2 linked regions of the Canis lupus familiaris genome follow. The protein of the gene in region 1 purifies or fractionates together with the protein of each later gene. This does not show direct contact. Links are inferred from orthologs where the notes say so. Each region holds a gene or a part of one and is shown on either strand. Other genes may lie near its edges. The genes, in order: MTCL1 and MARK2.

Region 1 (3,732 bases):
GACCATTTGCATGTATGTACTGGTGTGTTACTAAAGAAAGAGTCCATTCTTGAACCCGGTCACACATTTCTCCCTATAGGGGTTCACATGATGAAGAAGTGGCACCACGCTGTCTAATCAAAAGCCCGTTCTGGTTCAGTATCGGCCAGGTGGCAATGGGCTGCAGCGGTGTTGGAAAAAACCCATGATAGCAGCCATCTCAGTATTCACACCTGGCACACACCACACACTCATACATAGCACATGCAGCACATGACACTCATGCACAAAATGACCCACGATGCACACATAACATCCTCATACAAGGCACATACTTGTACACAACATGATGTCACACATACACAACACACTTATATACTACACAACATACACAATACAAACACACAACACACAAATCTGACAATAGGAGGAGCAGAGACAGAAAAAGACAAAGCAGTAGCAGGTGTCCTAAACCATGCACCTCCACGCATGTGCATAGCAGGGCTGAGGTGAGGAGAGGACAGCTCACCCCACCTAGTTTGCATTTCAGCTATTTCAGGCCTTTGTGGGCGAGGTCTTCCTGGTTGCCATGGTTCCCACCAGCCTAGCACTTTGCTAATCAAGGTTTCCCCATCCTCTGCTACAACTGCCGTCACAAGGAGGCCGGGGATGTTTAGAAGTATCTCAGTGTTCATGCCATTTCCCGTGGGGCCCACGGGGAAGCAAGGCCCACCTCACTCCATCACTCTTCCAGAAGCCCCAAGGCGGCGCTCTGCCTCCCCTCTTCTCCTTAGTCCTCACTGTGCCCATGGATACAGCCCACCGTCTCTTCTCCACTGTCACTCCCTGCTCTGCAGACTAAACCCTCCTCATCCTGGCCTCTGCACTTGCTTGTCACATCTATGTCCGTCCTCTGATGTCCTTCCCTTTGGGCTCTGAGAGCCTGTATTTGCTGTCATTCTTCATTGCAGTGGCTTACCATCTCAGCTTTTTCTTGTTTGAGTGTCACCTGGGCAGGTGGGTTCCGCCCGGTGAACTCGGGTTTCCTCCCACCACCCGCACTCTTCGTGCACCAGCAGACTCCAGGTTTGGGCATCCTTGTTTCCTAGCCTGCAGACTAAGGACAAGTAGCTGGACATTCGTTAACACCAGAAAAGGAGCCTTGGCCCGGGAAGATGTATTATAGGTGGTCTGCCCCACAGTTGAGTGTGTCTTGCATTATCTGTTCTCAGAAGGCGTAGGATGCCTATAACAGAAGCACAAGCACACTCTGATGCCACTTTCTAAAATGCTGCAGCAGGGAAGAGTCATTAAAAACCAGACCGAAGTTAAAATTTCTGCCTGCAGCATTTTTTTTCCATGTTGTGGGAGTTTGTTTAACCCACTGTCAGTCAACTTGGAATAAACAGTAGCAGAGTTCGTTTTAAGGTGAGTCTTTTTGCTAATACAGCTGGATAAATCATCCGTCTCTTCATGGGCCTCCAACAGACCAAAGGGTAGGGAGACTGGCCTTTTAGGGCCAGGTCACTGTGGCTAATAGATCACTCAGGAGGGCCAGAAGGATGGGGTCAGCCAAGTCAGACCATGACCAGGTGGCCTGTGGCTTTCCCCCACCTTCCATAGGCTCTAGCCCAATTCTGAAGATGCTTGTGTAAACATACCCATCTCACAGCATTGCCATATTTTGATCATAATTTGCTATCTTCTCATTCCTCTGTCACTGATCATCTGTTTGAATTTTTCACTGACCATTTTGTTATTCTCCTGGAGCAAGTATAAATTAACATTGGGAAGTTGCCCCTAATCCATTGCATTTAACTGGAGTCTGTTGAGAAGTGTGTTTGGGGAGAGTCACCCCCTTCCCCCCACAAAGGAACTGTGGTTCTGAGTAACCCTGTCTTTCTCTTTCTCGGCTTTGAAGGAACTACCTTGTTCCGCACTAGCTCCATCCCTAGAACCCTGCTTCTCCAGGCCCGAGAGACCAGCAAACCGTCGCCTTCCGTCCCGTTGGGCCTCACATTCCCCCACTGCCTCACTGGCTCAGTCACCCGGAGACCCAGCCTCCTTGGAGGAGCTCGGCGATGAGGAGCCACCGGGGGAGAAGACACACCTGTGACGAGTGCAAGTTTGCATGGATTATCAGGGAATGATTCCCTGTAATTTGCATAACCACGCTGTCATCAACCAAGCTCCACCCACAAGGAAAGATCTAGCTTTCCCAAGGTCAAAGAATGTTTTTAAAAAACACACAGCTGCTGAATGTCCAACCTGTGAACCTGAGATGTTTCTAGAACGAAACCGTAAACGTGCCTGTAATAACTTAATTTTTTTCATAGCTCAGAAAACTATTTTTGTCTCCATCTTTTTTACACAGTATATTAAACAAAAAAGCTAGATAAGATATAAATTTAAAAAATAAAAGTTTTAAAGATGTACATTTTAAGAGATTCTGAACACCCTTGCTCTCAATACTGACTGCCTCTCTGTTAAATTTGCACTGTTACGCCTTGGTTTGATTTGTTCCCACATTGAAGTAGAGTGTTTTAAGTTAACTTCATTTTGTCAGTGTTCTTGTTTTTTAAGAATTTTTGAAATGCTTCAGACTGATTCAGTGAACTTTTTATAGTGAAAAAGCCATGAAGCCAGTCGACAAGACGGATATCCTCTCTACTGGAGGGGATACACGTCAGCATTCTTGCAAAGGTACAGAGTCCTCAGCTGGGCTTACCAAATTTGCTGTATAATCCACGTACTCTACTCGACTTGCATGTCTTTGGGTTCGAAGCGCTCTGGGGTGCATGTACATACTGCTACTGTGGTCCTACCATTGCGTAAGTGTGAGTCATCTGTCCCACTGTAATACGTTGTGAATCCCTCGTACTGTACTTTCATCGTTGTCCTCTTGCATTGAGATACAACAGCAATGGCATTTTTAAATTATTGTTAAAGATGAACTGGCAATATACAGTGTTTACTCAAAATTTTCTTGTTTAAGGAAAAGCACTGCAAAAAGTCCGGAGGGTACCAAACTGAAGCAAAGGATGGTCCCTCAGAGTCTGTATGAGACAATGATGAAGTAGAAATAAAGCCTTTCAAGATGGCAGCCTGTTCCGGGACCTCATGTTTCACATGCCCTCCATCTTCCCCTAAGGGCTCAAGCAATAGTTTTCCGTAGCCAGGGGAACGAGGAAAAGGGGAGGTCCTGTAAAGAGGCAACAGCTGCTAACACACCTCACTGGGGGTACACCGTGAGCACCTGGTATGCCACAGCTTCCCTCTTCTCCATAAGAGCGCCCTGGGGTTGATGACAAGGCAACTTCTGGTTGAAAACATGGCGGGCATGGAGGTGTGAGGCAACTGTTACCCACAAGTCAAAATGTGCCTGGCCTCTCTCCCTCTCCCCTCCCTGGGAAAGGGGGAGTGGCCAATCACCAGGACCGGCTTCCCTCCCTGACAAAGAGGTGTCACCCGGCCTGTCAGTGTGTAACAGAGTAGGGAGTTTATAAAGAGGTGATGCTGGTAAAGAGTGAAAGAACTACTTTGGGCCGAAGCTTCTGGCCTTCATGTCCCATTGACTCAACAGTGCTGTCCTTCTCTAGACTGGCTAACAGAATAAGCTCTATTCCCAGCATTACAACAGTTCTACCTTTAAGTTAAATATTTTCCCCTAAAATGGAAAATACCATCTATTGGTGAGAACGTGGAGATGCTGGAACCCTGGGGTGCTGTTTGTGCAGCCGCTGTGGAGAACAG
Region 2 (3,816 bases), on another chromosome or scaffold:
AGAACACATGCGTCATCACAGAAACCCTACACCCCTTACTTGTCCCCCCTAAGTCCCCACCCTCAGCCAGCCCTAGATTAATCTTTCTCCGTGGATTTGCTCATTCTGAACATTTTAGATAAATGGAAACCATATAATGTGTGGTGCTTTGTGACCAGCTTTGTTCACTCAACGTCCTGCCTTCAAGGCTCCTCATGTGGTAGCAGGTGTCAGTACTCGCTGCTTTTCATTGCCGACCAGCATCCCGCTATGTGGCTTTCTCCACAGTGTGTTCTCCATCTGTCACTTAATGGCCATTCATGGTGTTTCCCTTCCGGGGCTCCCGTGAGCATAGGATGTTATGAACACACATTGGTATGGCTGTCCGTCACCTTCCTCTTAGATACTCACCAAGGGGCATAGCAGCTCTGTGTTTAGCCACCTGAGGAGCACACAGATTTTTTAGTAAATGGATGTTTTCCTCTGGGCCGTGCAACTTTGGGGTTATGTGTATGTAGCTGTTCGGTGCCCTGGCCATCACTTCTGCTTTGTCACACCCTTTTTCGAGCAACAGGATATCTGAGGAGGGCAGACAGTCGCCTTGCTCCGACCCTGTCATTCAGTTTGTTCACAGCACAAGTTTCATTGAGCATGTACCATAACTCAGATTGTGTAGGTACTGGGATGTGTCAGGGAATAAATGAGTTATGCCTGCCTTCATGAGCTTCCATTCTCGTCGGGATTGACAACAAATGAATGTAAAGTGATAGATAATAAAAGTAAAGGTGAAGCATTGGGTGGTGATGAGTGCTTTGACGAAATTCTGACTGTTCGGCTCCTGGGGCTTTGGGGCTTTGCCGTGTAGCCTTGTCACAGTGTGAACAGGCAGCAGGGCGGCCAGCAGGAGGCACTCGCCCACAGGGGGGAGGTGCGGAGATGCTGGTGGCTTATTGAGGGTGGAGCCAGCAGTGGCACAGCGGTGGGACAATGCCAGTCCTGAGCTCCCATGCCCATAGGTCCCACAGGTCCCACAGGATGTTGGCACTGGACCATATGCTCTACTCCCTTGGAGTGAAGACTGGCTCATTTCTCTTCCCCCTCCTGCGTTTGGATCCTTTCCCTGCCTGCCAGCCCCCTGCAGTCCATCCTGATTCCTCCAGCCTCTTAGGTTTTTTGCCGAGAGCTAAGGAAGGGCAAGGGTCTGGGGAACTGAGGGCAGCCTACGGAAAGGTGTGCATGTCTCCACCCTGCAGCCCACCTTGGGACACCTCGACCCCAAGCCCACCAGTAAGTCCAACATGCTGCGGGGCCGCAACTCAGCCGCCTCTGCTGACGAGCAGCCCCATATCGGCAACTACCGACTCCTTAAGACCATCGGCAAGGGCAACTTCGCCAAGGTGAAGCTGGCCCGGCACATCCTGACTGGGAAAGAGGTGAGCTCCGGGGGCGGGGCCGGCCGCACCTCCCAGCTGTTGGCACCCAGCAGGAAGCGGTGGCACCACTGCCGCAGCCACCTTCTGGTTTGTCAGGTGGAAGTGCTGAGAGGGATGGGGCACAGAAGAGGTGGAAATATAGAGGAAGAGGGAGAGGAGAGTTGAGTCCTGGGTTAAGCCTGCTCTAAAGAGGGAATCTGGGGCTTTTTGTCTCATGTGCAGGTAGCTGTGAAGATCATTGACAAGACTCAACTGAACTCCTCCAGTCTCCAGAAAGTAAGCATACAGCATTTCCTGTTGCTTTCTAAACCTCTCTTTAGGGGTCAGTGATCTACTGATCTCATGTGGGCCTCCCTTTGAATCCCCAATTTTAAAAATCTCTAGTCATTCACTGTCCTCACTGCTCCATGGCTCTGCTATCTCTGGGGCTCTGATTGGATCCATCACGTTAACCCCTCCTGGATAGGCTTCCTGACCACAGGCACTGGCTCTTTAGAAGTCTTTCTGCCCTTCCCTGCCATTTGGCCTATCTAGGTGACCTACTTCCTACATCTTGTTATCTTCTGGCCTGTGGCCAGCTCTGTGCAAAAACACACTTTCGTAGCCATTACTAGAAACATGCCTTTGGGTAACTGCAAGATCGGGAATGATCCAGAGGAGTGGCTCTAGACATACAGGGACCCTGCCACCAGATTCTATGCCTGCTACATTTTAGGGGATGAGAATATGGAAGACTGGCACTGGGGTTTTTAGAAGCTAAACTCCAGGTCAAGCCTGTGACAGTTTGCAAGTGGAGGACAGGTACTCCCAGTTTGCCTCTTCACTCCTAAGTTCCTCTTGGCTAAAAGTCATGACATCATTTGCATGTAGTGTTCACTAGGTGAGGTTGAATTTTTCCTTCCCTCCTTAACTCAGGGTGGGAAACTGAGGTCTATGTTAGCTAGCTGGTCAGGGGACTCCTTTAGGTAGGAACACCTACCCCCTGGTTGGGAAACTGTGAAGAGTTCGTGGGGACATGAAAAGGAGGCTTTTATTTGCAGTATGGGACAGCTTGCTGGTGGTGACAGGTTGATGTAGAACTGGAGACTCTCTGCCCTCTCCCCTCATCTTGTGCTCCAAGCAGTTAGGGGGAAGGAGGAAATAGCCCATCTGGCTCCCCAAAAGCTGCCCCTGGTCAGTTGGGTCAGATTTCCTTGTGCCCTCACACTCCCCTGACCCTGGCTCAAATGTGCTAACCTTGATTCACCTTAGTTCTTTCTATCATGAGATAGACTGAATTTTTTTTTTCATTAGCACATGTGTTATTTGAGTTAGGAGAGGTCATAACTTCATGCAGCAGTCAACTACAGTGAGGTTGGGAAGCTTAGGGCAGGGTTTAGGGGCTGGTGTTGAGAGAGGCACTAGCATCATGGAGGTTGAGGTGCCTTGACTCGCTGGCATCCAAAACCAAGGTGTTTCCTATTTTTTTGTTAGCCCTGGGATCCCCTCAAGGTTCTTTGGTTCAGAGGAAACACTGCTGTCATCACTAGGGCTTTCCTGCTTAGAGCTTTCCGGAAGGAAGGGAAAGAGGGCTACTCTTGATGTTTTGGCCCAGACCCTACAGGGTGGAAGCCAGTTTGGTGTGGGCCGTTTGGTCTTTGGTGCAGTCCAGCCTGCCATATGGTAATAGCCACAGTCAGTCAAGCCATCTTATCTCCCTTTTTTTCTCCTTGCCTCTTCCTGACTGGCTGGAAGGCAGCAATGCCAGACAAATGTAGCCATTTGAAAAGCCTATTAACACACTCTTACCAAGGCCAATCTGATTCTGGCCAAATCACTGTTTAAATTTGATCCCAGCAGTGATCCGTAAAAAGGACAATAGTGAAGAATCTGTCCCCCCTCAGGGTTCTCAGCTAAGCCTAGAAAACTCCACATTATCCTAGGAGAATGCCCCTTCCAGGCCAGTGGGTGCTCTCAGGAGGAGAGCCCTGGCCCCCACCTCCGACCCCATCTCAGTGTTGCTTCCCACCCCTGTGGTAGTATCCGGGATTTTTTGCCTCCTTATCCAAGACAATTGCTGGACCAGGGAAGAAGGCACGAGAAACCTGGGCTCTAACAAGAAAAGGGAGCCAAATTCAGAATCAGACTCCTGAAGATTGGAAAGCTTGTCTCTTCTTTTCCTTTCCAGATTACAAAAGCTCTCAGACCTCATTAAGAGGAAAAACCATGTTCACTTGATTCCATAAACTATCCTGAATTAGGTCTCCAGACCTCACCTCCCCCCAGAAAAACCAAAACAAAATATAAACAACTAGTTCTGCTCTCTGTGCAAATGGTGAGGCCTGGGAGTTACCAAAACCCCACCTCCAGTTCTCTGGCCCCCGCAGAAAGAATGGAGTTCGTTTCTGTCATCTTTCTTTATGGA

The links.
Region 2: the proteins of MTCL1 (region 1) and MARK2 purify together in Homo sapiens (affinity purification with mass spectrometry; 5 studies listed by BioGRID and IntAct, with this or other methods). This does not show direct contact. The link is inferred for Canis lupus familiaris from reciprocal best matches to the Homo sapiens genes MTCL1 and MARK2.

The regions. Positions count from the first base shown.
Region 1 is NC_049228.1:75,042,258-75,045,989, forward strand, and holds the end of MTCL1 (microtubule cross-linking factor 1), read left to right. Parts: intron 1-1,900; coding exon 1,901-2,095; 3' UTR 2,096-3,082; downstream 3,083-3,732. UniProt on the Homo sapiens protein: Microtubule-associated factor involved in the late phase of epithelial polarization and microtubule dynamics regulation.
Region 2 is NC_049239.1:53,622,145-53,625,960, reverse strand, and holds part of MARK2 (serine/threonine-protein kinase MARK2), read left to right. Parts: intron 1-1,232; coding exon 1,233-1,412; intron 1,413-1,634; coding exon 1,635-1,688; intron 1,689-3,816. UniProt on the Homo sapiens protein: Serine/threonine-protein kinase. Involved in cell polarity and microtubule dynamics regulation. Phosphorylates CRTC2/TORC2, DCX, HDAC7, KIF13B, MAP2, MAP4 and RAB11FIP2. Phosphorylates the microtubule-associated protein MAPT/TAU.